Caenorhabditis elegans: one gene and its partners. The main gene of each other region encodes a partner of the protein of the gene in region 2 in a complex. Each region holds a gene or a part of one and is shown on either strand. Other genes may lie near its edges.

Evidence for each region.
Region 1: eif-3.L (region 2) and eif-3.G share a complex: the UniProt entries of both Caenorhabditis elegans proteins name them as parts of the eukaryotic translation initiation factor 3 (eIF-3) complex.
Region 3: eif-3.L (region 2) and eif-3.F share a complex: the UniProt entries of both Caenorhabditis elegans proteins name them as parts of the eukaryotic translation initiation factor 3 (eIF-3) complex.
Region 4: eif-3.L (region 2) and eif-3.E share a complex: the UniProt entries of both Caenorhabditis elegans proteins name them as parts of the eukaryotic translation initiation factor 3 (eIF-3) complex.

Annotation. Positions count from the first base shown.
Region 1 is NC_003280.10:8,439,014-8,446,055, reverse strand, and holds eif-3.G (Eukaryotic translation initiation factor 3 subunit G), read right to left. Parts: upstream 3,290-7,042; 5' UTR 3,273-3,289; coding exon 3,256-3,272; intron 3,210-3,255; coding exon 3,157-3,209; intron 3,036-3,156; coding exon 2,956-3,035; intron 2,875-2,955; coding exon 2,492-2,874; intron 2,404-2,491; coding exon 2,148-2,403; 3' UTR 1,881-2,147; downstream 1-1,880. Other genes in the region: cut-3 (Cuticlin-3), read left to right, coding at 1-531, 577-786; evl-20 (ADP-ribosylation factor-like protein 2), read right to left, coding at 951-1,085, 1,280-1,410, 1,461-1,749; lips-10 (LIPaSe related), read right to left, coding at 4,055-4,247, 4,446-4,735, 5,340-5,520, 6,678-6,859. UniProt on the Caenorhabditis elegans protein: RNA-binding component of the eukaryotic translation initiation factor 3 (eIF-3) complex, which is involved in protein synthesis of a specialized repertoire of mRNAs and, together with other initiation factors, stimulates binding of mRNA and methionyl-tRNAi to the 40S ribosome.
Region 2 is NC_003280.10:5,616,169-5,624,287, forward strand, and holds eif-3.L (Eukaryotic translation initiation factor 3 subunit L), read right to left. Parts: upstream 6,314-8,119; coding exon 6,241-6,313; intron 5,630-6,240; coding exon of another isoform or gene 5,624-5,629; coding exon 5,497-5,623; intron 5,448-5,496; coding exon 5,174-5,447; intron 5,131-5,173; coding exon 4,963-5,130; intron 4,920-4,962; coding exon 4,566-4,919; intron 4,481-4,565; coding exon 4,311-4,480; intron 4,262-4,310; coding exon 4,024-4,261; intron 3,968-4,023; coding exon 3,755-3,967; downstream 1-3,754. Other genes in the region: dhs-6 (Hydroxysteroid dehydrogenase-like protein 2), read right to left, coding at 1,112-1,365, 1,410-1,633, 1,680-1,893, 2,429-2,807, 2,879-3,050, 3,099-3,112; npl-4.2 (Nuclear protein localization protein 4 homolog 2), read left to right, coding at 6,729-6,872, 6,924-7,289, 7,352-7,543, 7,591-8,119. UniProt on the Caenorhabditis elegans protein: Component of the eukaryotic translation initiation factor 3 (eIF-3) complex, which is involved in protein synthesis of a specialized repertoire of mRNAs and, together with other initiation factors, stimulates binding of mRNA and methionyl-tRNAi to the 40S ribosome.
Region 3 is NC_003280.10:9,329,005-9,336,641, reverse strand, and holds eif-3.F (Eukaryotic translation initiation factor 3 subunit F), read right to left. Parts: upstream 5,000-7,637; 5' UTR 4,981-4,999; coding exon 4,828-4,980; intron 4,399-4,827; coding exon 3,884-4,398; intron 3,830-3,883; coding exon 3,691-3,829; intron 3,104-3,690; coding exon 3,026-3,103; 3' UTR 2,672-3,025; downstream 1-2,671. Other genes in the region: scp-1 (Sterol regulatory element-binding protein cleavage-activating protein), read right to left, coding at 252-342, 391-1,348, 1,398-1,492, 1,541-1,972, 2,016-2,158, 2,516-2,589; wbp-2 (GRAM domain-containing protein), read right to left, coding at 5,565-5,776, 6,277-6,655, 6,752-6,868; eat-3 (Dynamin-like GTPase OPA1, mitochondrial), read right to left, coding at 7,356-7,423, 7,607-7,637. UniProt on the Caenorhabditis elegans protein: Component of the eukaryotic translation initiation factor 3 (eIF-3) complex, which is involved in protein synthesis of a specialized repertoire of mRNAs and, together with other initiation factors, stimulates binding of mRNA and methionyl-tRNAi to the 40S ribosome.
Region 4 is NC_003279.8:10,638,590-10,646,055, reverse strand, and holds eif-3.E (Eukaryotic translation initiation factor 3 subunit E), read left to right. Parts: upstream 1-3,774; 5' UTR 3,775-3,780; coding exon 3,781-3,870; intron 3,871-3,938; coding exon 3,939-4,214; intron 4,215-4,260; coding exon 4,261-4,737; intron 4,738-4,792; coding exon 4,793-5,248; 3' UTR 5,249-5,533; downstream 5,534-7,466. Other genes in the region: tag-344 (Protein kinase domain-containing protein), read right to left, coding at 484-727, 774-1,084, 1,132-1,454, 1,502-1,606, 1,652-1,772; B0511.17 (DUF4283 domain-containing protein), read right to left, coding at 2,351-2,477, 2,912-3,027; cdc-26 (Anaphase-promoting complex subunit CDC26), read left to right, coding at 5,829-6,033, 6,079-6,137, 6,305-6,557, 6,602-6,669; mrps-30 (Mitochondrial Ribosomal Protein, Small), read left to right, coding at 7,100-7,466. UniProt on the Caenorhabditis elegans protein: Component of the eukaryotic translation initiation factor 3 (eIF-3) complex, which is involved in protein synthesis of a specialized repertoire of mRNAs and, together with other initiation factors, stimulates binding of mRNA and methionyl-tRNAi to the 40S ribosome.

The DNA of each region.
Region 1 (7,042 bases), 2.8 Mb from region 2:
TTCCAAACCCAGGTTGTTCCAATGCCAATCTGTAAATACGAGATTCTTAACGGAGGACCAACTGGAGAACCAGTTCAATTCGCAACTATTGGACAACAAGTCTATCACAAATGGACCTGTGATTCTGAAACCGTTGATACTTTCTGCGCTGTCGTTCACTCTTGCACTGTTGATGATGGAAATGGTGATACCGTGCAAATTTTGGATGAGAACGGTTGTGCTCTTGATAAGTTCTTGCTCAACAATTTGGAATATCCAACTGATTTGATGGCTGGACAAGAGGCTCACGTCTACAAATACGCTGATCGTTCTCAACTTTTCTATCAATGCCAGATTTCCATTACTGTTAAGGAACCAAATGAGGAGTGTGCTCGCCCAACGTGCTCTGAGCCACAAGGATTTGGAGCAGTTAAGCAAGCTAACCAAACTGCTCAGTTCTTCAGAGTTTTGAAGAAGAGATCCGCTCCAGTAATGGAGAATATTCTTGATGTCCGTGCTGAGCTCACAACTTTGGAAGTTTTGGAAGGAAATGTAAGTTGTCAAAATGGTGTTCATTTGCTCATTCATTGTTTTCAGCTCCCATCTTCTCTCACACAAGCTCAAGCTCTCGTAGCTTCGAGAGAAATCGGAGAAGATTCATTCCGACAAGAATTGTGTATCAGCTCTTTCCATATCTCCGTTGTCACTGTCTTCCTTGGTCTTACCGTTTTCGTGGCTATTTTCATCACTTATATGATCGTATCCCGTATGATGGTGCCATCCGACAAGATGCAATCAGCTTGTTAAATCTCCAACCATGTCAACCGAAATCTCGGTGTGCAATTTTCTTATATAATTTATTGAAGCCCTTATTATTTTGTTTTTCAATGAAAAATAAATTAAAATCTATAATTTTTATATATTTACAAGCAGTGTGAAATGAGATCAAAGCAGTTTGATTGATAACAATTTTAATCAAGTATGAATAATCGACTTCCAACATCATCGCATAACCATGTCATTGCTTGGACCAGTCGATCACCAGAAAGTGCACAGCAACTAAAGATCTTCCAGTGATGGGATTTGATGGAATGGAGATCGAGTACCTAGAAAATTCTTAATAGGTTGAGTAGTTTCAAGGTTCCTATGTTTCCGTGCCTCTTTAAAGATTTTCTTCATTTTCAAAATGTATGTTACGAGAGTAACATGTGAATAATGAATCTAATATAAATATCTACATGTTAAGGCTTACAAGAAAGCATTTCTTTTCGGAAGTATATACTGAAGACATCTGAATTACCTGTGCTATTGAATTCACATCAATGGCCCCTGGCAGATCACTTTTGTTGGCAAGAACTAGAAGAGAAGCACCGGCTAATCGTTCTTCTCCGAGCAATTTTTTGAGTTCTTCGGAGCATTGTAGAAGACGCTCTGAAAAAAGTTTTTATAAATTTGAATGTATCCTAAATATTTGTTTCTACCTCTATCTGACGAATCTACCACCCAAATTAAAGCATCTGTGGATTCGAAATAATTCTTCCAATAAGATCTTAGACTTTTCTGTCCGCCAACATCCCATAAGTTTAGTTGAAAATCTTTGAAATGCACGGTTTTGATATCAAATCCTAATGTTGGTTCAATTGTATCAGTCGGCTCGTCGAGGAATTTTTTCATTAAAGTAGTCTTTCCAGCGTTGTCTAATCCAAGAATTAATATTCTCATCTCGCGTTCCCGAGCACGTTGCTTACGGAGAATCTTCAAGAAGCCCATCTGGAATTTTTGAGTTATAAAATGTTCTATTGCGTTTGAAAATTTTTAGCCATCAGATTTTTATTCAAACTATGATATTTTACATTGGACAGAAACCCAACTCGATTGGAAAAATAGAACGAAAAAATAACCAGGAAGAGATAGATTTATCATTGAAGAAAGAAAAGGAAATACCAACAATTTTCATAGCTAGAACTGCCTTCGTGAAAATAAACTTCACTTGCCAACTCTGATAACCATAGAAAGTAAAAATTATGATTTCAATAGGAAAGAACAACAAACATCGAATTGGTCTACAGTAATTTTCAGTTTAGACAGACACTAGCTACGAAATTATGAAGAACCAAACAGCGGGAAAACATCCAAGTACGCATAACATAAATAAATCAGAAAACGGATTAGTTGCTCGGACGTGTCCATTCGACTTTGAGAACCATATGGTACATTCGGATATCATTGAGTTCTGCAATTGCACGGGCGGCGTCATCTCTTGATTCAAATGTAACGAAGGCGAATCCTTTCGGGAGACCAGTGACTTTGTCACGGGCAATGAAGATTCGGATGACTCTTCCAATCTTTCCGAACAAATCACGAAGTTCGTCTTCGTTCATCTCTTGCGGAAGATTGGTGACACGGCATGTATTCTCATCGGATCTGAAAGTATGTTTTAAAAATAGTTCATAAATTATTCAATCATCAAGATTTTTTGGGCAACTTAGATTACAGTATTTTGAATGCTTACCGATTTCTATCGATTTGTCTTCCATCAGGACGCATTCCCATTGCCATTCTATCCTTTTCAGTATCCTTGTCAGCATCAGCTTCCTCGTCCAATTGGTACATGACCTTGTAAGGACAATGAGTACTCCAATGGTCGTTTCCTTTGCAATGACGGCAATGCTCACGGCTTGTAGTTTTAGCAGTCTGTTTGTCTTCTTGAACGTCAAGAATCTGCTCTCCTGCGCGATTTCTTGTGAATTGCATATCGACTTCTTCAGCCACGTAAGTTGTGGCAACTTGGGGTCCTGCTGGCTCTCCCTTACAACTTCCGAATTTCACCCATTTTTTGCGATCAGCGACGACTTTTGGTACACGTTTGTTGATAACTTTGAACTGTGTCACAACCTGAAATTTGGAATTGAAAGAATTCTAGAGCATAACTCGAGAATTCTGTAAGGCGAATTTTTTGGCCATCGGATAACAAACCTTCCATCTTACTCCATCAACCTCAGTGAAAGCTGTTTCGGTACGTGTTCCATCAGCTCCTTCCTGGATGTGTGGGGCGTCTGCAAAAGCGTTCATCAGTTCATACAGAAATGACTCGTTTTGTTAGGCGGTTGCACTCCAAATGCGAAAACCGTGAAAGTTCACGTAAATATTCTTGAAGACGAGAAATGAAAAACTTACTGTCTTGCTCAACGGCCTCAGCCCAGCTTACAACTTCTGGAGCGGGAGCCATTCTGAAACTTTCTTTACGTAAATAATTATTCGAGGGTGAAAACTCACGCGTTAATGCCAGTCATAGCTGTAACTTTACTACCTGAAAAACTATTGATTATGTTTTTAGCAATATAAAATAAGAAAAAATTTCAAATAAATGGTTTAACAAACTTCAGAATTAAAAAGAAACAGCTCTTCAAAACATGTAGATTTTAAAGTATTTGATTTTTTTTTCCAGAATAAGCGAATATTCAACTAGATTCATAGTTTTTAGCAAATATCTATAAAAACAAACTATAAATATGTAAAAAAAATATTCTACAACAAAAACACGGCTGGAAATCTTTTAAAAATGTAGAAATATCCCGAAAATCGAAAATTTGGGAAACAACGACGCATTGGGAAATCTGTGCATTTGCGCGTGGGATCATGTGTTTGCAGAATTGCGCACCGTATTGCCCAAAAGCCAAATGGCGCCGCCGCTCCGGTTTTCACAGATTATTCAGTCTCATCGGAAGAGATTTCTGAAGAAAATAATAAATATCTTCGTTTTCGGAGAAAATCACAACATTGTATCATGTGTCTAGATTGATCTGCGAAATATAGCAGTTTCCTATCTCTATTCTTATGAGAATTCTTACAAGTCGCCTGATGGACTTGATCACTTGGACGAATTTAACATTCTGATCATTTTCGTTCAAAATACCAATTTAATCAACGATTGTACTGATTTATTAAACTTTTGAACAATATACACACAAAGTTTTGAATGAAAGCAACGAGTTCGAATCAATATAAACAAGGAAATTAAAGAGATCACAAGTGAAATTTGATGTCAATTAGTATTTTTGGTGAGATTTTGTTTTTATGAGGTTTGAAGAGCCCTCCATTGATCTTCTGTAGTTCCACCAATAACTGCTCCATGCATTAGTCTAGTTTTGACGATTGAAGTGGCTCCTTCTAATGGTGAGGACATCTCTCCACACGTATTTCTGAGTCCAATAACTTCGTCAGCTACGGAATAAATGGCGAACATGTTCTTTCCGTATTGGAACGGCCTGAAAAAAATGTTGACTTGTAAAATCATGAAATTAATGTTTATGTGTACAGAAAACAACGTAATTAAATTTAAGTATGCCCTAGTATACCCAAAAAATGAAAAGCCTTGCTGGCTTAGTGGCTAAAAGTTTTGCCTTTCACGCACACCTGCATGAGTTCAATTCCCTGTGCTGGGATACTTTTTTTGCGAAACTTACTGTGAGTTGATCTCTTGTAAGAACTTGGAACGGCAATCCAAACCATGTGTTAAACTACAGATTCCATTCACAAATGGCTGCTTGGCGCACATAATAGCTCCGTGATTTGCTCCACCAACAGAAACATAATTATGAATTAGATGATTAATTGGGCGTCCCAAATTGACTCCACTATCAACACAGTGTCCTCCAAGAATAGCTTTTCTGGTAATTGGAGATCCCATGGAGCAAGCAATGATGTTTACTGGTTTCTGAGTGTATTCATGAACAGCAAGAATGAGAGTGCGAACCTGAAATTTTAGAGTTACAGTTTGGATTGCAATATTCCTTTCGTTGATTGTAATCCCTATTTCACCTATAGATTCCCCTTCATCTTTTCTTTTAGAATATCCTTCTCAATCCGGATCCCTTCCGAAAGATGTCTACCCAACCAGTCATTATAAATCTGTGTTTTGTGTAGTTTGTAAACAATCCCTTCTTTTTTCGGGTCACGTCCTTTTTCCGTTTCAACGTCACTCCGGCCGTTATCAATCGGGTCTTGAAAGATCACCGATCATCCCTTTGTTCTCTATTTATCTATATTAACAGACGAGATCAAACCCAGAAGTTATAGAAATTCCCCCACAAGGCCAGTCTAACTGTGACCATCACAAACTACACATTCACTACACCAGTGGCGCCGCGTCAGAACGGAGACATGATATGGCGAGGTTTTCTCATTGTAAAGATTAGATTTAATGATGATGATGTTGGTGATGATGACAATAGTTACACTACACTTGATCTTAGCTTTTGCAAGTGTTCCTCTTGTAGTTTTCAGAGTCTAAATTAAATTCCCAAATCAAAATGATTTCTCATGTCTATTATATAATCCCATCATTTCTTTACACCTACCTTCAACACATAATCGCATTGCATTCCGTGTTGCAATGAGTCCATCAGCTTTCCTCTTGCATATGTTGTTGCGAATACAGTTCCCTTTGGTTGCCCATACGAATAGTATTTGTTCAATAAACTTTTCTTTGATAATCCAGCGTATCCAGCCAACCCGTGAATTACCACAATTGGAAGACCCCTAAAAGAAACACTTTTTATGAACGGGTGTGTGAAAATACTTGTTCCATCTTGTTTGCGTTTGTTTCGGATCAGGATACGATCAGAAATCGGGATTTGTGACGTCACACACAATGATACGAACACAAACCACCATACATATTTGTGTCGGAATCGTCTTGACCATCAAGTCATGACTGATTCAGTGTGAGAACAAAATGTAATTGGAGGCTACACTTATAGAGGTCAAGTGACACTGCACGGTTTTCTCGTCATCTATGTGTAGCAATCTTTCGATCACTACAACTGTTTTTTTTCGTGTTTTTTTCAAAAAATAAAATCATGACATCATTCTGATTTGAAAGGTGTGATCTGGTTGACATCAGATCATTGGTTATCTGAAGCCGGTCACTAGAACATTGTTCGTCTAGTTCTGATAATAGGTTGCAACAAAATGTCGTAGATCTATCTGTTTAATATTTTAGTTGACTTAGTTTTTGTGACAAATTATTTCAAGTTATTACACACCTAAATTCCAGTCTTGGAATATACGAAATTCAAAAAAGTCTTCTTTGAAAGAAATTGAAATATATATTTGTCGAATTGCAATTGTAAATTCATGAATTTTTAATTTTGAAAATGTCAACGGTAAATTCGCAAAATCATGAGACCTCGCTGTCAAGGTAAGTTCTACGTAGGTCTAACCACGATTGCAGTCACCAAGCTTCACAAAATTGTTCGTAAAATAAGATAATTGAAACATTAAACTCTACGTAAACAAAATGTATCTTGAAAGCTTTTGTAGGAGCGCACGATAAAAAATTGTATTCAAAAGACTATACAAATGTTTTAAAATTTTAAAATTTTGTTTGGAATAAATTGAGTAAATTTTTTGAATTAGGATAAATTCTAGCAATATTTCATTGAATCGAACGAAAAGTGTTTTTCCTATACCATTTTGCTCAACTTTGACTTCTCTCATATCGGTTTACGTTGGTTTTAGCAAAACATTTTGAACAGTAATATTACGAAAAGTATGATATGCCAAATAATTTTCTTTAGTTTCATAGTTGAACAGTTTTTGAATAATCTTGCTTGAGAAAACTGAGATATGAACCGTCAAGGGAGAGCAATGGGAAATGAAGGAAAATTTCCACATTTTTAGAAATCACAACTCACGTTGCATTTGGATTGCCTCCACCAAAAGATCCTTTCGTTCCGAGATCGGGTCTCAATAAATCATCAGCAATGGGTTTTCCAAATTTCCCAAGAAGGAAATTATAAAAATGAGTATGAAACTTTGCATGAGCACATCCAAAAATAACAATCAATAAAAGAAGGGATGATTTGAATAGATGCATATTTGAAAAATAAAGTTTTCAAAAGAGTTCAGACTAAACTGAAGAGACGAAGGCGTCGGATGGTTTCATTATGTAGTGTCCTTCGAACCGTCTGTGTCTTGACTAGACTCCGCCTACCTCGTAGCCTACATCAGATCGTCCGATGGACTCGAAAGAACCTAAAGGGCGGGCGAAAGGACAATG
Region 2 (8,119 bases):
AAAATTTAACTTTTGTCTAAACTGATGGATTTTCAAAACTTAATACTTCCGAGTTCCTGTAGGATTTTTTAAAACTTTCTGTCGGCTATTTTTTGTTTTACATAGCTTCACATAATAAAGTTTATTTTTTGACACAATAACTCTGTGAAACCGAATTATGTAGACGGGCGGCCACCTCGACGTGATATTCTTTCACTTTGTGACGTATATTCCTAAGTTTGTCTAAGTTCATTTATATTAAGTTCCCATGTGTATCCAATTCCCTTGCTCCAGAGTGATTTTCTGGGCTCTTTCACGTCAGAACTTTGTAGATGGAAGAAACCTTTTTTAGAATTCTGAAAAAAAGGAAGTGAGGTCGATTATTAAATAAAATAGAAAACAGTTGGAGGAAAAGAATAAATAACATAAATGATGATAAATGAGGTGATAGTACGCGCAGAAAACAAGAAATCAGATAGAGTGAACGAATATTGATGACATTTTTTGACAGTTGAACGATCAGAGTCTATTGACTGTAATTCATTATATTACAGTTACAATAAAATCTTGTATTGGATACGGGAAACGAGATTGTCACTGATTAAAGTAAATTGATTTTATGTGTTTCATCTTATGAAACTTTTATCTTTAGTTAATTCAGAATTACTAAATGTCGAATTTTAAAAAAATACGGTGCCCGGTTTCAACACGGCACGTGTTTGTTAAATGCGAAAAGGTGTGTTCCTTCAAAAAGTACTTAAAAATGTTAAAATTTGTTTTTACATTTTTAATCGACAAATATGAAAAGTTTTCTTTAAATTAGTTTGAAATTACATATCTCTTTAAAGGCCCACTCGTTTTGTACAGAAAAATAACGTGTCGAGACTGGGCTGCGTATTTTTGGCGCAAAAATTGCAAAAGTCGCGTCTGGGTAATATCACCAACTAAGTATCTCGGCTCACATCATACTAGAATTACGGTTCAAACTTTGAAAATTCATTCAAAAGATCATATCTAAAAATTAATTTACAAATAAAATTATCATGTTTACAAGAAATATACAAAAAAACCAATTCAAAAATAAAAAAATACTCCAAAGTTTTCAATTTATTCTACAAAATGCATCAGTTATTCACAGTTTTCCTTCGGTGAACTTGCGGAGAAGGCTCTCCAATTTCATTGCTCCTGGCATATCACCGGAGATTTGGAGCTTCTTTGTCATCAGAGCAGTCGTCGGACGGAGTTTTCCAGTGAAGAGTGGAGCGAAATGTTCTGGAGCAAGTGTGAATTTAACATCAGCTTTGCCTGAAGCCTTCTTATCTGTCAGTGCTCCTTCTCCGTTTTTCAAGTCCAAAGTAATGATTCTCTCGCTTTTTGTAGTTGGGTCTAAAGAAATTCATATAGAACTATAGATTTCAAACGGAATTGACCTTTTAACAAGAATTCATACACGAATCCAGTTTTCTTTACAATATCAGCATTAAGCAGGCGCTTTGCAGATGTGAATATCTGTTTGATCTCTTCTTCAACAACTCCGGCTTCGTGAGTCTTATTCTTTTTTCCGATCTGTGCTCCAGATGAGAACTTGTGATCGTAAGTTCCTGCAGGAATAAAGAAATCGGGCATCAATGGAGCATCTGGCACACATGCATATCTGGAAAAATTAATAAATTCCAATTATCCAGAAAATGAGCAATTACCTATCAAAATCAGTAACTCCTTCAGCTTTCAGAATATCTTCATCAATGCAGAAATTTCCAGTAAAATCCTTGGAGTTTTTGGATAGAACTGCATATGCTGCATCAGCCATAATTGATGGTTTACGGCTTCCAGCTTCTCCTCCTTTGTCAGAAAGCATTTCCATTGCAGCAGTCCAAATTGCGGTCAGTGGCCATAGAGCGTTCACAGCAATACCTGAATTATGGAAATTAAAATAACGATGAAAATTAATATTTTACTATTATAAATGTTCGATATACTGAAATTTCTTACACAAAAATATGGTACTCGGTACGTACAAAAGTATGTGCACCTTTACGGGGTACTGTATCCAATGGTGGCATTTTTCGACTTTTTCGATTTTTCGATGTGTTTCAGTGAAAATCGAAAAATCGAAAGTTTTCGATTTTTCGATTCTATGGAAAATCTAAAAATCGAAAAAATGTTCAGAAAATTGATTATAAAATTTTTTATCTAATTTTGCTTATAATGATGAGAAAAAACATAGAAATTTCTTCTAAAAAGAGGGATAATGGCCAAAATATTAAGCTGATTTTTGAAACATCGAAAGAGAACTATATTATTAAATTTTTCGATTTTCAAAAAAAAACCGAAAAACGACTGTAGCCCCTAACACTTCGGATAGTTAGGAGCTACAGTACTCACTGTACGTATTTTTTAAAAATATTTCGAGATTTTCAAAAATCGAATATTTTTTCAAATATATTACCATGTGGTCTGAATTCTTCATGCTGCCCGAGAACACACATCGACATTCCATACTTGGCCATTGTATAGGCAACATGATTAGCAAACCAGCGAGTCTCCATCAAAAGTGGAGGTGAAATGTTCAGAACGTGCGGATTCTTTCCAGATTTCAGATATGGCAAACAAGTTTTTGTCATGAGGAATGTTCCACGTGTATTGATCGAGTGCATCAAGTCGTAGCGCTTCATTTCAGTATTTTCTGTGTCGGTAAGTGAAATTGCTGAAGCATTGTTGATAAGGATATCAATTCCTCCGAACTTTTTTACAGCTTCTTCAACTGATGCTTTCACAGAAGCTTCATCTCGAACATCGACGATGCATGGAAGGGCTTTTCCTCCGGCCTAGAAATAATTGTTTTTTGTTTAAAAAAACTTCCTTAAAATTATTTATATCCAGCAATTTTCTATATTACCTTCTCAATCTCTTCAGCAGCAGAGTAAATGGTTCCAGGAAGTTTTGGATGAGCTGTGGCTGTCTTTGCTGCCACCACAATATTTGCACCATCTTTTGCCAATTTCAGTGCGATTTCCTTTCCAATTCCTCGAGAAGCGCCAGTAATCAGAACTGTTCGCCCGACAAATTTTCTGTAGAATCAGAACTTTATTATACGGGAAGTTATTTATATAACTCACCCAGTGTTGAACATTTTATTATTGACACTGTCTTCAAAGGATTACTGTAGAATCTGAAACTCCGAAATTTAGAATTAATTCGGCGAGCCAAGAAGAGAAACAATAATTTTTTTTAATTTTGAAAACAAACGGGAAAAAAAATCGGGATCAATGGAAAAGATTGTTGTTGTCCTCCTGTTCTACTTATCTTCCCTCGAGACTGGAGACGCAGGCATAACTAGTGGGAGAATACACATAAGACTACGTTCTAGGTGAAAACCATGGACCTATAGGTCAAAGTACAGTCTATCACTGTACATACAAGACTACTCGTAAGAGAGATTAATAATTATTCGGAAAAAATTGAGAAGTAGTTGCGATGAGCGTAGAATATAAACAATCATAAATTAACTTCATAAGAAAAACCAAAAAAATTTACTAAACTTATTATGAACCATGGATACAAAATAATTGGGAGATAAGAGAAAAAAAGGAAGTTTAGGACCAAAACGAAAAGACAACAACAGGAGAAAGTGGTATAAATAAACGGAGAGATGTTTTTAATTTTCAACAAGAGATATAATGTTAACAAACGAGTGGGAGTTGGTGTGAAACTAAACGAAATTAACCGGAAATCAACCAGTCATGTTTCGTTTAGCTCAAATACTTTTTAAGGATCATGGTTTCTGGATATCGAGTCGTTTGAGCACATCCTGAACCTCTTGCAACTTCTGAATATGTCGAATGAAATGTTCACCGACGTGACGAGCAACTTTGGTATCGGCAATATTGATCATATCACGGTCTACGTAAAAGTCAATATCTGTTTGTGGCTCATCGTCGTCTGCTGATGATGGTCCGGCTTCTTTGCCAAGCTCATTGACGATCATCTGAAATTCAAAATATTACATCAACACTCGAGATCATCGGAAATTCTTATATATACCTTGTAAGTGAGAAGCTTTCCAATGAACGAATCATAGTGCTCATCATCAACATCCATGAACGACGCAAGCTTCTTAGTTGGAAGTGTTGTGTAAAGTTTCAGGTATCCACGAAGAACTGGTAACGCCATCTGTGATTCAATACCTTCCAGGAAAGATTGAGTTTGACGAAGAAGTGGTTCTTTCGATTGGTTGACTCCCTCATAGACAACTGTGGTTGGAGACAAGAACTTTGGACATCTGCAACAATACAATACTATACAATTACTTGACTAATTTCGTTTCCTACCCAGTAGCAAAAGCATTTCTGAATTCATCGATATTCCCGTTCGCCATGTGCATCATACGCTCACCACATCGCTCCGAAAGCTGAGAAGCAATGCTTTCATCGATTCTTTGTGGCTGGATGGCGAGGCAGATTGCAAGAAGATGGAAAAGCTGATCCCACGTCTTTCCAATCTGAAATCGGCAGAATATTATTGGGTCTTCATTAGATATTCAATTATTGTGCAAATATTGTGCAAAAAATTTAGAAAGTACTCACAACATCATATTGGAAGTTCTTTTTCGATGGCTGCTGATTTTGAACACTCTTTGTTCTTTGAATATAAAGCAGACAATTGACGAACATCTTTGTAGCTTCTCCGTAATTTCTCATCATCAAATGAGAAAATCCAACAAAGTAATGGAGAGTAACAAGGCAAGTTGGAACTGTATTGTAGATTCCTTTTGGATCAATATCCACGTATTGCACGGTTTTCAAAGCCTGATGATAGTCTCCTAGAAGAACGTGAGTGCGGAGAAGTCCGATGAGAGCGAAATATCCAAGCTTGAAGTAGAGATCCGATTGACCGAATTCATCGGCGACCGAATCCGGATTGCGTTTTTCCTGGAACGACTGTAGAGTTGAAAGCAAAAAAATAATATTGAATTAAACAAACCTTCAATGCCTTGAGCTGCTCCACAATTTGGGATTTTGATAGAAGCGAATAGAGAATGTTGAGAACTGGATAGATATTCCACGCGTTCTGATTTTCTTCGATATTGATGAGATCTTCAACTTCATCAGCATTGCGTTTTCCTGGGTTAGCCTTGTAGAGACAGAATGCCTGAATATTTATATTACGTACAAACTCTACCAAAAAATATTACCTGGAATTGATAGACGAATTCGTCGATAATATCCCAAAGCCACACGTTAGGGAGAGACAATGGAATTGGATCCTTGCTTGAGAGAAGCTCAGAGAATAACTCTTGATAGTTCATGAACGACTCATAGCGATGGACAAGGAGTGGTCCACGAGTATTTCTTGCATACAGCTGGCGATAATAGAGTTCCTTGTAGAGAATTATGAACAACTTGTTGCCAGGTCCAATAATTCTTTCGACAACATTCTCATCGGGCCACATGCGATCACGGAAGAATCTGAAATTAAAAGATAAATAGAAAACAATTTGAGATTATTAAATATTACCTCTCGGTGAGATCTGGAAAAGCTTGATCGTAGAGAGTCAAAATTTCCGGCACATTTTGTTCGTCAACCATGCGGGAAAAGTAGACCAGGTAGTCGGCGACCTCATTTGGAACTCCATCCTCATCGGCTGAAGCTGTTAAAAATTAAGAAATGAGATAAGTTTGTGTTGTTAACAAGCACCTAAATAACTACCATAAATATGTTTATAGAATTACTCTATTGATTGATTATCAATTTTTCTTTTGAAAAGATTTCACAATGCACGATCATTGATCCTCTGATACTCAACTTCTCTCTCGGGCTTTTAAATGATTAACTTCTTATGAACTCTTATGAACACCTTTTCATTTATTATTTCTTTCAAATGAATAAAGCTGTGATTCATTTAATCTGAGATTTGAGGATATTCGACACCGAAAAACACTGAAAATGACAAAAGTAGTCATTTTCATATACAATGAGGGAGTTCTGAGAATTGGCATTGATTCTTCACTGTAACAGTATTTGGAAAATTTGGTTTTTCTGAATTTTATGTATTTTGCTCATGGAATGTTAATCTGCAGTTTTTATGCAAAATTATTTCAGACCAAATTCTCCAAATGTCTGTTTGCCGAATTAAAATAAATCGGTTAATCAAAAAAGGACCGAGTCTTCAGTCTTTTCGAACTGTTTCAAATTTTAACATTTTTCAACTCATTTTACTCTTATTCATCAATTCTGAAAAATAGCATTCTGTGAACTTACAAGAAAAGGTGTTGGTGCGACGACGATCAGAGTGATCTTCAGTGGATAAATCGAATTCCACGCGTCGAGACATTACTGAAAGAAGGTTTTTATATTGATATTATTTAAATGTCAAACTAAATTCGAAAAGGTACGCTAAAATTAAGAGAAAACATTTTTTTAATTGTAAAATTTGATGAAAGGAATTGGAAAATGTGATGGAAAAAAGAAAATTGCAAGCGTTGCATGGGATTTCGCAAGAGTGCCGCACGGTTTTTTGTGTACGCATTTGCTCGTCATTCATGTTGTCTAGGCAGTTTTGATGACATTTTTTATTCTAAAAACAAAATGTTTTATTTCATTTGCTGTTTAATGTTTGAATATGTATGGAAACTAATTTGATACCCTTTCCGCTGCATTATTTTTGCAAAATCTCAAAATTATATATCTTCAATTCACTACCTAGAAGGCATATCTTCCTGCATTTAAAAATCTATTTTATTTCAGATATGGTAATTGAAGTCCCTCAAACTGAGCGTGTCAACGACGTTGATGTTTTTTTAAGCACGCAAGATGGTCAAATTCAGCGTCCAAAAGGGCCCAACTGTCGGCATCCTGTACGTCAAAAGTGCACTAATTGTTTGCCTGTTGATGTAAGTGATATTTTCTGTTGTTTTCATAGAAACTAATATCAATATTTACAGCCATTCGATGAAGAATATTTGAAAGAAAAAGATATCAAGCATATGAGCTTCCATGCACATGTTCGCAAGCTCCTTGGATCCCAGGGGAAGGGCACGACTCTCAAAAAACCGCTGGAAAACTTTCGATGTTCATTAAAACCCAACTGTGATGCTCACAAGCCGTTCCCGAAAGGAATTTGCACTAAATGCAAACCACAGGTTGTAACATTGAATCGTCAAAAGTTTCGTCATGTTGATAACATTCAAATTGAAAATCAAGAGCTTGTAAATCAGTTTTTGGATTATTGGAGACTATCGGGCCATCAGCGTGTTGGATTTTTAATTGGACAGTATCAGCCTCACCTTGAAGTTCCACTAGGAATCAAGGTAAGTTCAGTACTTCATCACTCATTTCTTGAGACGAGTTATTTCATTGCTCATACTTTCAGGCTACAGTGGCTGCAATTTATGAACCTCCACAACACTGCCGTGAAGATGGAATTGAGTTTTTGGAGGATAAAAATCAAAAAACTATTGACAATTTGCTGGAAATGCTTGGCTTGCAACGTGTTGGATGGATCTTCACAGATTGTTGGACAGCTAATAGTGCTGAAGGAACTGTACATTATACACGGCACAAGGTGAGAACAATCTCGAAGAGAAGCCCAAAAAACGAATAATTTTTCAGGATTCCTTCTTCCTATCAGCTGAGGAATGCATCACCGCAGCAATGCTTCAAAATCAACATCCAAACATCACAGAGTACTCGATGGATCGTCACTATGGATCCAAATTTGTGACCGTTGTTGCATCTGGTGATGAATCGATGCATGTTAATTTCCACGGATATCAAGTTTCAAATCAATGTGCGGCCATGGTTGAAGCTGATATTCTCTGTCCAACACTGTACACTCCTGAATTGGCTTATGTTCGAGAGACACCATTATCCGAAGAACATTATATAACTGATGTTCAATTTTCGATGAAAAATGAATACGGAGCCGAGGTTATGAAAAACGGACGACCACTTCCAGTTGAATATTTGCTGGTGGATGTTCCTGCTGGAATGCCAAAAGAGCCTCACTACACGTTCCACGTTGGCACATCTAATAAATCGAAGAGTGCCAAATTTAATGTTGAAAATCGACAAGCAATTGGACAACTTCAAGGAGGTGCAAATTTGATTCAATATTCATCCGAATTCTCTACAAATCAAT
Region 3 (7,637 bases), 3.7 Mb from region 2:
GATTTTGCATAGTTTTACTAACGAAAAACGAATTGTAAAAATGTATTTAGTTTTCATAGTTATATCTAAAAAACAAATTTATCGAGAAACTCTGAAAGTCGATAAAAATTCCGCAGTAGCAAAATTTTGAAACTACAGTAATCTTTAAAGGAGTGCACTTTTTTTTTGTTCAAAAAATTGTCGTTTCGAGACCGCGTAACACTGCGAGTTATAAGTTAAAACACTGCGAATTATAAGTTAATTGTGATTACCATTTATAAGTCCTTCTCTGCCAATTTCCGTATTGCAAATTCGCAGTTGACAGAATTCGATGAGATCTTGTAAGACTTTCAATCGATTGATCTAAATTTTATTTAATTGTTTTTTTTTCATTTAAAAAATACAACTTACTCGTCAAATTACTCTCCATTCCCAATTGTCTTGAACCAACAAAGAAAACCAAGAAGACAGTCCAAATCGCAAAAACTACCAAAATAGTTCGTTGAACAATTCGAGTTCTTGTTATAAAATACATTATTTTCATTCGAACACTATCCTCAGGCCTTGGCTCTTGAACATCTCCATCATCTTTTGAATCAAATTCAGATGAAATCAGTAGTCGACGTTGTTCATCATTCTTCATCACATCTTCTATACCAGAATCCGAAACTCGCCGTTTTTGCATTTTCTTCATTACGAACAATTTGGGCCAGATTTTTCGCATCGGACAGCTGACAGGTGCATAGTTTTTGAGACGTGGAATCTCTTCATAGAGTAGAATTTCTGCGAATTTCCGTTTTTCCTCGAGCCCAAGGCGTTGTAGATCAAACGTCAGACATGGTGCATAGAAGAAGAGCTGCATGTAAAAATCGACAGTCACACAAATGACACTAAACTGGCAGAATTCTTGAATATCAGATATTCTCGTTAAAAATCCGATAAGCAACGCGAGAAGCTCTAGAATATAATATTTAGTTAATTTATATCCTTCTTGTGATAATCCATGTGCAATTCTTGATGAAACATCCAATGATGGAGATGTATAAACAACGCTTCGAGTTATACACAAAGTGTTCTCTAATCCCATAATCAATGCAATATATGGGTATACTTCGGAACCCCAAGTGGTCGTACTCAAATCTAAATGAGCACATATTCCAGTTGTCATAAGAAGTGTCGATGCAACAGTAAATGAAGAGGCAAAAGCAAGTCCCCATCGAGATGCAACCATTTGAATTTTACGAGAAGAATAGTAGACGTAGATCATGCAAACGAAATAAGTCGATATCAGTGGAATATAATCTGAAAAAGTCTTGAGTGGATGGAAGTACACCTGAACAAATGTTCGTTGATCGTTAGGCGGAGTGTCCTGAAATTAATTGTTTTTTTTAAATGAAAACGTAAAATCCAAAACTCACAACTAATTCAAATTCTTTTTGCAGTTTCTCTCTTATTCCTTGAATAACCTTCTTGCTATATCTTGCAAAAAACATGGTCACAGCGAATTCGATTTCTGAAAAAATACAAAATTAGTAAATGTTTCCTAACTTTCAAATCCTACTTCTTTTTCGATTCGTCTGATATTTCTGCTTAATGCCTGTCGCTGCAATAGGTGCTCCCAACAACAAATCTCTCATGCAAAACGTGGATTTACAATGCTCATTAAAAACCGTAGTGATTGTGTCATCGTCTTCTCGAAATTTTTGCAGATTATTGTACCAAATACTGGCGGGCGAGAGTACAACACAGAGTGATTTTGAACGAAATGGCCATGAGGAGTCTTGTCTCTGATTTGCTAGCCGAAGGCATAGTTCTTCGACAGCGGGCTCTGCGAGCAGAATTTGACGAATTCGAAAAGCCGTCGCAATTGCCGCACGAACAGCATGCTCCGGTCCCATTTCTGTTGCATTCCATGGAGATATTGTAGTGGAGACAATGAATTGCTGGATGTATGATGCCGGATTTTCATTTATCCAGAAGGGGGCGATTTTGTCTAAATATTAGCTGATTTTCTGGGTTTTAATTGAATATTCTACCATTAACATGTAAATGTTCACTCCAAAATACATCAATCGGAGTGCTGACTGGTAGACGGAGACGTGTGATTGTTGGATATGAGAGGACAATCATTGTGAGAAGGGACATTGAGAGGCAGGCTTTTGGATGGGCGGCACATAATCTGAAAAATTTTATTTTCGGAAACTTGGTTTTTTTGCTAGAGAAATTATTAAGAACTATACTTCTACTTTATTCAAAAATTTTCAGATAGACTATTAAGAAATACTGATGAATTGGACACAAAAAGCATGCGAATGTCGAAAAAAATTATACTACACTCGGACAAGTAATGCAAAAATTTTAATGCAAAAGTATATATTTAATGCAAAATGAATGAGGAAAAATAGCCAAAAACTGTGAAACTATGATTTTGTAAAATGCACACTTGTCCGAGTGTAGTACAAAATCTCTCGTACATGGACACTCGTTTTTTTTCGGATTTATGTTAAAATCCATGATAATTTTTCGAAATATTTACCGTCCATAATCGTGATATGCGTTTCCAATTCTCTCCTTAGCCTCCTTCCATCGAATTTTCACTCGATCGTTCATTTTTTATCGATTTTTTCAAAATTATTTTCTCATGTAGATCTGAACGCTCTAGTGATAATTTCAAAATCAGATTATTCCGAGCCCAGATATAGAAATTCATGCAAAAAACAATTCAGTCATCCCATCAGACGCCTTTAACAACGAGGTTTATCCGATAGAAAGTGATCATCATCAGAAACCTTCAAACATTGATTTTTCTTTAAAACCAAATCAATAAGAAGGCTAAATTATGAGAAAAAGAAAACAACAAATACTAATTTCAGACAATCCATTAAAAAAAAAAGGCAGATAGATAGAAAACATGGGGAGAAATATTTTAAGAATTGGAAGAAGGATGATATAAATGGATGGAAAGAAAAACAACAAACGCCAACCAAAAAAAAATATATTAGAAAAAATCGGGACAAAAACGAGTTTATAGTGTGGAGAACAAAAATTAGGCCGACACAAGACGTTCGTGAACTTGAAGTTGAGTTTGAGTCAATTTGGCAAGGTACGAAACCATCACGTAGTCCTGAAAAAGAAGAAAACAAATATTTGAAGAGGTTTAGCTTTTTTTTGTTTTTAGATTCTCGTCAACTGCTTTTTCTCGCGGGCATATTGTTTACATGAGTATACACCCATTTTTCATGGTTTTTGGTCATTGAGAAGATAGGTTTCACAAGTTTTTTATTTACAAGTTTCTATTTATGTGTTTGTGCAATGCTCTAATTGAGATAATAATAAAGACAATTTAATTGTATGCATAAATTTCAAAAAATTGGAAACGCTAATTTCAAATTCGGGAGGGTAGCGGATATCATATCCCGACATCTACCGGGTTTCGCGCGGCACAGAAAATGTATAGGCATTCCCTAAATTTGCAGATTTTTCGTGTTTTTAGCTAAAGATTTAATTTCCTCAATTTTTGAGAAAAAAAAACTAACAATTCTGTACTAAACTGAAAAACGTATAAACTTTACTAATTTCCAACAAAAAAACTTTTTGAGGTTATTAAAAAAAACTATTTTGATCAAGATATTCGAAATTTTCAAAATCACGTACGAATATTACACAACTTTTCATTTCTCGCTTTTTAAATATTTTTGGCTGAAAACTTACACGAAGAGTATTCTTGACAAGAGTATCGAGCTTCTCTGGCTGCATATTGTTTGACGAGGCAGTGACAATATCCATGAGTTGACGACCGATTTGAGCATCTCCTGGCTTCTCACCGTTCTTGTTAACATCTTCCACGTAACTGAAAATCACGGTTTATTCTCCAATTAAGATAATTTTAAATGTTAAAACTCACTGCAACATTCTCTCCAACCACTCAATCATCTGAGCTGTGCTCGTCTCCAATTGCTCCAATCCACTTTCAAGAGTTGCCTCTCTTCTTCTGGAATCCAAAGCTTTTTCGATAAGTTGCATAGCAACCAGTTCTCCCGGGAATGCAGCTAATTCGACACGAAGTGGGTTGAAAATAGCACAGTGTGGTCCAGCAGCTCCAGGAATTCCGGCTTTTGAGCGAAGATAGGCACGAACTGGCATACGCTTTGACATATCTCCAGAGAAAGTCGTGTCAATTGTCAAAACGACAATTGGTGGAGATTCACGACGAGCCGATGCTTCAGTGATGACACGTACATAGTAGTCGTGATAGATGAGACACGAAGAAGTAATGTCAGATGTTGTAAGGAACCATCCAACTGGTTGCTCATTTGGAGAAGTTTTCTTTAATGCAGAGATCATTTGTTGATTGAATTGATCATCGATTTCCAAATCGTCGTTGCTCTCATTGAAAGGGATCGCGAAACAATTTGTGACCTGGAAAATAAAAATTGGAGAAAATATCATGAATTCCAAAAAAAATATTATTAGCGAAAATCATCCATTTTGCAAACTTTTCAGGGTTACAGCGGCCAGAACTTGCTTCTAGTTCCACAAAAATGCAATAAATTGTAATAATTGAATATTATTAAGTTCCGACCTTTGTGACACGGGAAAGCTTGCAAAATTGAAGATTTTAGCTGAAAGTATACTTTTTTCAAAATTTTGGCATATTTTTGTGTGAGCACTTGAGCATTCGGTCATTTTGAGTTTTTATTCGTTGTTTTAGATACTTTTTCGGTCGATGGTATTTACATAAAATTAAAAAAATTAGATTAAATACAGTTCCAGACACCAATAAGCTTGCAAAATTTCAGTTTTTTCAAAAAATTAGGCTCTTTTTTCTGTAATTATAAATATTTTTACCTGAATCGATCCTTTCTCATAGTATCCCATAAGTGTTCCCATGCACTTTTCCTGTCCTGTATTTTTCGCAGAACTCTTGGTACGTCTCATATGAGTGTCGACAACATTCATGTAGACTCCCGGGTGGACATTGACAGTTAAATTCGAAGCCATATTGACTTTTTTCTGAACCCTGTAATTGAAAAAAAAACTAAATTAAAGAAATAATCTGAATCAAAATAGTAAATTCAGCTGAAAACTGAAAAATGGTTTTGAAAAAATCAATAAAAAATATAAAGTTCTTAATAAATATTTTAAATTATTTATTTATTTACAATTAAAAGAAAAATTGTGTTTTTCAACGAAAAAAAAGAGAAAATAAAATAAATGTTCTGTGAATCAGAGAAAGAGATATAATTCCACTTATACATATATACTTTATCCTGGGAACGAGAGGGGGCATCAAGAGAGAGAGGGCATAGACTTAGTCTACCGAAAGTTTATAGTTTTATCACAACTTTTACTTATATTCACATGAGATTTTTAGAGAGACGTGCAAAAATTAAAAAAAAAAACAAAAAATAAATGGTGGAATTTTAGATAGTTTTTGTGTGCAACTAGACTTCTGAGCTTATTTGGAATCATTTTTCGATGCGGAAAAAAATTATGGGTAAATTGGCTTTGTTTTCTACGTGTTTCCCCATAATTTTGAACTAAACACTTTCTCTAATGTCATTTTTTGTTGTTAAATTTACAAGTTAATTTCTTCGCCTCAATCCATCGGCTGTTTCTCCTGAACCATAAGCTGGTGGTGCTTCAAATTGTCCAGCAACATGAAGTTCTTCAGTTGGATGTGGGCCGCGTTCTGGTCCGATTCCTGGATATGGTGGTGGTGCTGAGCTCATGAAAACTCGTGATGGGTTCGGCTGATCTGGGAACGAATCGGTGGTTGGATTGAAACCATTTGGTCCTGAAAATGTGAAATCTATTATTAATCGGATTAACCGGGGAATAATTTTAAAATAAAAAAAAAGTTAAATGCGGTTTAATATTATTTTTCTAACGAATTTGATAAGAAAACCATTAAATCCAAAGAAAGATGGTAAAATCAATTCAAAAATCAACAAAATTGTGAAACAAAAATGCAACGAGGTGGAAGAAAGTTGCATTAGAGCACGTTTTCATTTTTGCAAAACTGTCTGACCAGAACTGAAGATTTTTGGTATTTTTAGCAAAAAATCTCTCTTAAACAAAAAGTGATCGAAAAAAAAAAGAAAAAACTCGTTTTTTTAAAAATTAATCTTTAAAAAATTTTAAAAAATGTTTCAAACTTGGATTCCTTTTTTTTTCGTTTTTCAAAAAAGTGAAAAATGTTCAAATTCATACAAATCTCTAATGATTACGCTTAACATTTTTTAGGTAATTTTAATTTCGAATTCAGGATTATTTTTAATGTTCAAAAAATCTTACCTTGATCCGGCGACGGCTGATAATAAGCTGGCGGTGCAGAGTAGAAATCTCCAATTGGTGGAGAATATGCAGGTGGAGCATTCTCTGGTCTCATTCGAACAGCTCTTTCGACTGCTTGCAATAGAGATTGCCCGAATTCAATACATCCCCCTCTGTTGAATGTCATTCTCCATTTAACCTCTCCGCGCATTTGTCCTCCTTGAACAGCCGAGGCGATTCCACATAGGTAGTTGGCTCCGAAAATCGGCTGGTTTAAGTTAACATCTTGCATACTGTTGAATGGAATTTCAAATGATTTCAGCCAATCTCCAGGGTCTGGCATGAAAATGATTCTGTGTGATGTGAGGTAGATGGTTCCCGTTCGACGTCCTTCCAAATTCTATAAATTCGAAAATATGATTATAATTTTCAGCATTTGTGCTAATGAAGATTTTTGGTGTTTAAAAGATATGAAAAAAATACTGCAATAAATTACCTCATTTTCACTGGTTCCTAGTGTCATTACTACTCCTTGTGCAAAAATCACGATGGTTTCTCCATTATACAGTAGGACACCAAGTCCGTCCGGCGTGTTCGCCGTGTTGATGGACATCTAAATATAAATTAAACAAGTGGTAGCAGGATAAAAAAAGGTACCCAGAAGCGGATTTTCTATCGAAAAACCGAAGCATAATACGAAAAAAAAACAAATGAAAATGTTAGTTTAGGGAAAAATCTTCGTTTAAATTTTAAAAAATTATAAAATTGGGGAAAAAGCACAATAATTAGAGACCTAGATCATATTTACAACAAAAAAACCGGTTCAAAGTTGAGATAACCTATCAAAAATTGAGGGCAGGCAAAAGACTAGCTATACATTTTCGTGTCAATGAAAGGATGGAAAAATAAAATAAAATGGCAAAAAAGCACCAAAAAGCCGTGATGAAAACTTACAAAAACAAGTGACAAAATTACATGTTTTAGAGAACCTATTTTCGAGTCTATGTGATAATAGAACTAGAAACAAACAAACAAACAAACAATTGCACACACCTAGAATCTAAGAAAATCGTTTTAGCTGATCAAACATCGAGGAGATTTCAGATTTTTTCACGTTGTAATTGAGCCATGAACTCTTCGAGTTTCTCTTGGATTCGGCGAACTTGTTCTGAAATGGAGAATGTATAATTTTGTTTTGAATGAAACTTCGCAACATTTTGAAATTGAAAATGGAATCTCAATTATAAAAATTTACATTACATTTGGAATTTAAAGAATTTTAAAAGTATAACTTTGCATGAGAAATCCAGGTTTTCATTAATAAAAATTTGAAGATCAGAAAAAAACATACGAATTTCTTCTGCAAGATCGACACGTCTTCC
Region 4 (7,466 bases), on a different chromosome or scaffold from region 2:
CTTTTCAGTCATCCTCTAATGAAATCAATTTATAAGTAAATCGAGGTTATCTAATTCCAACCGTTTTCATGAAAATTAATATAATTACTACAGTGTCAACTAAATTTTTCAATTTGGTGAGCAGTTCGGCCATCTTCATTGTCATCTAGAAAATGTTGAAGTATGCTTTTACTAGACTTACGCCTAAGCCTAAGTCTAAGCCTAATCCTAAATAGAATTCTAAGCTGAAGCCTAAGCCTAATAGTAAGCCTAAACACAAGTCTCAGCACAGCTCCCTTGCGTCACTTCCACTGTCTGAAATGTATCTGAAATGTGTTTCCGATTAATATCGAATGGAAATGTTCAATTGAAGAGGTTGTGTACTTTTCTTGATACACTGCAAAGGCATGAAATCGCTTTATGACAGACAAACTACAATCTTGTTTTAAAAGAATAAATCTACTAAAATGCTTTATTCACTGTCACAATAAGTTCACATGCCGTTCATCCTTGCTGTCTCTTGACTTCTTTCGGTTTTCCTGAGACAGGAACAATCGGAGTTGCAGGTGACACAATTCGAGTTGCCAATACTTTTGGTGGCTCATTGGGTTTCATGTAGTACGGTTGAGTACGGAGCCATTCAGATTCACAAATTGCTTTGTAGGTCGGACGGTTCGGTGCATGTGGCTGGAGAATCTCAAGGACCAGAGCCTTCGAAAAGACCGATGATGTGCAACTTTTCGGGAATCTGAAATGAGAAATTTAACTTGAGTTGTCTTTTAAAAAAAAACTACTTAATTTTATGTGCCAACTGTCTCTCGATCATTTTCCTTGGGTCACGATCATCAAATGGCATTGATCCAGCCAGCATTATGTAGAGAATGACCCCAGTACTCCATACGTCAACTGCATTTCCAGAATATTCTCTGCCACGAAAAATTTCTGGAGCCACATATGCTCGCGATCCACAGAATGTTCCAGATTTTTCACCCGGTTTCAGAATTCTCGAGAATCCGAAGTCGCCGAGCTTCACATTTCCATGTTTATCCATAAAGATATTTTCGCATTTGAGATCCCGATGCACAATGTTATAGGATTGCAGATGCTGAATTTATAAATTTAAGAAAAACAGTTTTCTGATATAAAACTTACAGTAAGTGCTGCAATAAGTTGACGAAATGTGAACTTTGCATCTTCCTCTTTCATTGCCACGATATCCTTCATTTTACGGAGCAAATCTCCTCCAGCACAGTACTCATTGACGAAGATGATGTGATCTTGAAATGAAATCATCTCGTACAAACGACAAATATTATCGTGTTTCAAGAGCTTGACAATCTCTTTTTCACGTGGCAAAAACTTTTTGATGTAGTCCTCTTTTTCACGAGTTGGCGTAATGTTGATGATTTTCGCTGCAACTTCGAGCTTTTTCTCTCCGAAAGTTGCGCGTGCCACACGGGAATAGGAGCCACTACCTGTAAATTAATGAATTATAAATTGGAATTAATTTCCAAATGATTACCGAGAACTTTCTCAAATTTGAGCTTCCAGACCTTCTCGAGTGTTGGAGCAAAAGCTTTCGTTTTTGGACTCAGTTCATCAGGTTCTTCTTGGTTCTCAGAAACATCTGAAAATTAGTTATTTTCTCTGAAAATCTGCATAAAATTCTTACCTGTATTGTTTTCCGTTGCCATTTCAACAATTTGCCAGAGAAATATGAATTCAAAATACTGCGAAATTGGTCGATTTTGGTTCGATGAATATTGATTAATAGATTTTTCTTCTCGATTCATCAGTTCATCAAGACATTTTCACGTTTCACGAAAGGTCACTTTTTTTTCGATTTTTCCTTGATTTCTCCGTAAATTTTCTTTGTTGAAAATGTTTAATTAACATTTTATCGGGAAATAAAAATGTTCGCTACTAACTATTTGCTTTCTGGCGCCTGTTACACACCTCATAACATGCCTAATTCCTATAATCTGGATTCGATAATATTATAGGTTTCTTTAAAATGAAGTCTTTGAAAAAGCATGGATTAGAATGAAAATATAAATAATATGATAATTTGAGAGTAATTGAATAACATATACATTTATAAAACAGAGGGTAAAATGGAGTAGTGCTAGTGGGGGACATTTTTAAAAATTCGAAAAGACCCAAATATCAAAATATAACATTCCAACTTGAAAAAAAAACTGTTTGCACCCAAAAAGTTAAGATTTGGCAGCTGGAAATCTACCAAAACAGTTTTGAACAAATTTTAGCGGTTATTTGAAAATTGAGATCTAAAAATTGTTTGCCTTTTTTATTTTGATATCTTGGTCAATTTCAGTGTATTCTGACATAACAGCAACTGGCTTAAATTGAATTAATAGTTATCGTTTTTCCATACAACAAAATCAAGGCATTCTTCGATAAAATTGACGGTTGCAATTTGTCCATCGTCGCTCTCAATATCCCATCCAAGTGTACAATCCAATTCGTCTATTTTGTATCTGAATGTTATTATTTTTCAAATAAAATAATTTAGCTTTTTTCCTTTAATCTCTACAGTAGATAGGTAGCAAGAATTTCTTCAATTAGTATGGCACCCCATCGTTCACGGTTGAGAGCTTATATCTCGGTTGTTTTCAAAAATAATTAACTGATGAAATATTTGGTAGTTCTTTTTATATCGTTTTGTAGTTAATAGTTTTATGATATCTTTGAAATGAACCGAGATATAACCTTTCAAAGTAAAGTAGTCTGTTGAACTAATAGAGGAAATACGGTATGTCAAGATCTTTAGAAACAATATGTGTAACCAAGACCCACAAGTCAAACTATATAGTCAGGTTTTGTTTCAACTGGGTGGCACACTACCCTCAAGAATCAGGGCTCTTCATGTAGCCCACTCGCCAGCTCTACGACAAATAATTTATATTCTCACTTGAACACTTTTGGTCTTCGCTTTCCATTCCACGGTCTGTGAATAATTCGATGCATTACTCCTTCATAGTTTTGAGGTCCATATGAATTGAATCGTATTCTTCGTAGATTCGGCATTCCTCCTGACATCAAATACCCGAATTTAATGTTGATCAAACCGAAATGGGGCAACCTGACACCACATGAATTTACGGTCTCGTCTGTTCCCAAAAATTAATAATAAAGCATTCTAAATTTTACTGTTCGCTTTTCTGTGCATTTCAAAATTTGAAATTTCATAAAACTTGTGTCTCTGACACATCGGTAAAATTTGGCACACTATTATTGAGATCGTTGCGGGACCCACTCGAAAAATTAATATGTGATTTTAAACTGACATTTCACAATTACAATATTTAAGCATTGCTTTAAAGCCACACAATGTTTTTCGGGGTGGGTCTCGATACGGGCTCGGGTCTTAATATCTTGTAACTCTTCCTAATCCCAGGAACATTATGATTCGTTCGTAATTTCTCAATTTGAATATTTTAAATTAAAAAACTTTTAACTGAAATTTTAGAACCAAAAAACTCCGAAATATTTTTCAAATGTCGCAAATTGCAGTTTTCGGTTATTCTTCTCGTAGTTCTACTTCTCGCAGTTCTCATTTCGCTGGTGGCTCGTGTTGGCAGGCAGTAGCAACGACACTCCGATATTCCATAGCGCGCGTTGTTTATCATTTCCTCCTTTCCCGGCGAATTTCTCCTAATTTCTCGATTTTCTTTCTGCAATTTCATTGTTTTTGTTTTATTTATGTTTTCCGTTAAGAAAATTGATTGGAGTTTTATTAGAACATATTACTATACTAATACGCTTATTTTACAGGTAAAAATGTCGACATTCGACCTGACTCAGCGCATGGCGCCTTTTCTCGATCTTCATTTGATCATTCCGCTCTTGGAGTTCATCGAACCACGAGGAGTAAGATTTAAACAATAAATTGTTGATTCTGAAATAGCTGAATTTATTTATATCAATGATAATTGCAGATTTACGATGAGAAATCCCTGACCGAAATGCACCGCCAGCTTTTGACCAAGACCAATATGATTGATAGTGTTATAGAGACCTACAATGGAAAACCTATTCCGGCTGCAATTGAGGCTAAGAAGAAGCAAATTATCAAGGAGAGAGATGAGCTGAAAAGCAAGGTGGACTCCGTTGTTGCCATTTTGGAAATACCGGAAGTCAAGGAAATGATGGATAACAACAGAGAAAGAGATGGAAATGTCCGTATTTTGGAGCATCTCACTCAAAACCACAATGTACGTTTTTGCTTTGCAGTTTCGAAAATAATCTTAATTCTTGCAGTTCACAGTAGACATGGTCGATACCCTCTTCAAGTACAGCAAGTTCATGTACGAATGCGGAAATTACACCGTCGCATCCGTGTGCCTTTACTACTACCGCAACCTTGTCAATCAAGCGGATCCAAACTATTTGAACGCTCTTTACGGAAAGTTGGCCAGTGAAATTCTGCTCCAAGAATGGGAACATGCTCGTGACGATTTGCTGAAACTTCGTGCTTACATCGATGCTAATCCATTCGACACGGAATGGGAACTTGTTACGCAACGTGCGTGGCTTATGCACTGGGCACTTTTCGTCTACTACAATTATCCAAAAGGGCGTGATGAGATTATCGAAATGTTCTTGAACCAGCAACCTTATTTGAATGCAATCCAAGTTTTGGCGCCACATTTGCTCCGCTATCTGGCTGTTGCCGTTGTTACCAGCAAAAGCCGCCAGAAGAACAGCTTGAAAGATTTGGTGAAGGTCATTGACATCGTGAGTTTAACTATTTTCTATATGAAAATATGATTAATTATTTGTTTTTCTACAGGAACGCCATAGTTACAAGGATCCCGTCACTGATTTCCTCACCTGTCTCTACATCAAATATGATTTCGACGAGGCTCAAGAGATGCTTCAAAAGTGCGAAGAGGTTCTCTCCAATGATTTCTTCCTGACTGCTGTCCTTGGAGATTTCCGCGAGTCTGCACGCCTTCTCATTTTCGAGATGTTCTGCCGCATTCATCAGTGCATTACCATAGAAATGCTAGCACGACGATTGAATATGAGCCAAGAGGAAGCTGAACGCTGGATTGTTGACTTGATCAGAACGTATCGTATCGAAGGAGCTAAAATTGACAGCAAGTTGGGACAAGTGGTGATGGGTGTCAAATCCGTCAGCATCCACGAGCAAGTCATGGAAAACACGAAGAGATTGACCCTCCGCGCTCAACAAATCGCCCTTCAATTGGAAAAAGGTCGTCAAGACAAAGTCAAGGCGACTTAGGCTTTACAAGTTCTTCCGGTTTTGAATGTTTTTTCCTTTTTCTTCATCTGATGCTGTTCTGAAAATTGAGATGTGGCAAACACGGAGATTAAGACTGTCATCTCTCAGTTTTCAGTATTATTTTTCTTTCTTATTTGTTCAGCTCCTCGGTTTTTTACGAGGACTACTCGAATTCTGTCTTTTCTAAACTTTCCTTATATCCCTGTTGTTTCTTTTTGTTGTCTCTGACCCTTCTTTCGTTAGTGCAGGGGCTGGAGGTTCGGTTCTAATTGGTTAAAATAATATATTTTCTCTTTTATCATGGTTTGATTATTGTTAGAATCTAGGTTTATGAAACCTTTCAATATATATTTATTGCCGTTGCCGAGAAATTGTTTGAAATTATTTTTTGTGAGGAAAAACACTTCCATCTGTATATTTTGTCATTTCTGTTGAATTTGCCTTACTTTTTCGCTAATTACAGAAATATTTAAGCCATAGGTTCGATTTTGCCGTTTAAAAATTAAATCTCCAAAAATACACATTTTCGCCAATTCACAGTTTTTATGAAATTAAATAATTTATCTCACTCTTTTTCAGTATGTCAATGTTACGGCGTCCATTAACACAATTAGAATTGTGTGAGGACGATATCCAATGGCTGACAGATCAACTGAACAAGAGGGTACTTCCAGCTGTGATCGTGCCAAAATGCGAAATGATGGATATTGACGAAATGGAGCCGATGGATCAGAGTGAGCCTCCACGTGGCATAACTAGGAGAAATCTCAGATCGGCGGATAGAAGTGAGATGATGATTTATTTAATTTTTCCTAACCTAGCTTTTTCAGAGAACAGAGACGTTCCAGGACCAAGTACGGGAGAGTGCACGCGTACTTCCATTGCACCGGTAATTTTTTTTTTTAAATTAAATGTTTTAAACATTACCTTTTAGAATCGATGTGAAATGTCATTCACTGAAGTGCAGGTGACATAATTTTGTGTTGTTGGTGTTTCGAACACTTATTTCTATTCACTTTTTCATATTTATCTTATGGCTATTCTCCGTATTTCCAGACTTTAACATCTGCTCGAACTCCTGTCGCTGCTCCAACTCTAACACTTTCGACGCCAGTCAACCCTGTCTCATCAGCTGAAATGTTGAGAGTTATGCCACCTCGTGTAGGTCGACGTCCACGAGCTTCTCGTTCTGGTGACAATGATTCGCCACTCCTCTTCAACGCTTATGATACACCACAGCAAGGAATCAATGACGAATCTCCAACACCCTCTGACTCTCCCGAATCTCCTAATGCTCATCTCTATGGTGGTCAATGAGTTGTTGGAGGAATATTGTCAATATTTTATTTTCAGCTACTCCCGGCAATCCTACTTCAACTTCTGGAGGACCTTCTTCAAATACACGATCTCACAGACACTAACAACTACTGGTCAGGGTTGTGTTTAGGCAAACGTGCAAAACCCGCTTATTTCAATATAATAATTCACTTTTTGATCTAAAATTGATTTAGAAACGTAGAAAAACTTTTAGAGGTCTTCTCAAGCTTTTCATTAAAAGTGAACCGTTTTATACATTTCTATATTTATCAATTTTTAATTTTTTAAAAACTTGGATTGTTATACTGAAATTCGCAGTTTTACACGCCCTGCTACTGATCTCCCTTTCAATTCCAACTTCCTCAGCGTGCTTTCTTCTTTTTTCGAACTAAATAAATTTGTACAATATTTGAAACAAATATTTCTGAAATGCTACATTTACTGTCATAGTCTGTGATTTTTCTATCTTTCTTTGTTTTTTGAAATTCCAATATTTCATTAATTCTTCACCAGCCCTGTTTCAGAAATTGCAAGATGCACGGGTTAAAACGAAGTCTGATGATCAGAACAGTCTGCCGTGGAAAGGCAACAACTGCAGGAGCAGATCTACCACAATCATCACAAGAAATCGAAGTTACCACCCCAAAATCAGAAAATGTTCCAGCCAAATCAGCGAACGCTTCAACTGTATATCGTCCGCCATACTATCGAAAGCCACATCAGCACCACGAGCCAAAGCATATGCTCCAAGAGGAATTTGTGAACGCTGGCGATGCATCTGGAGCAGGAGTTCGCGTTTTCGACTACTACAAGACTGCAGAAATGGTCCATTCAATGCCAACAATTAAAGAGAAAATTGATTTCGTCTCACCGTACGAGCGACCGTGGACCCGCGCAGAAA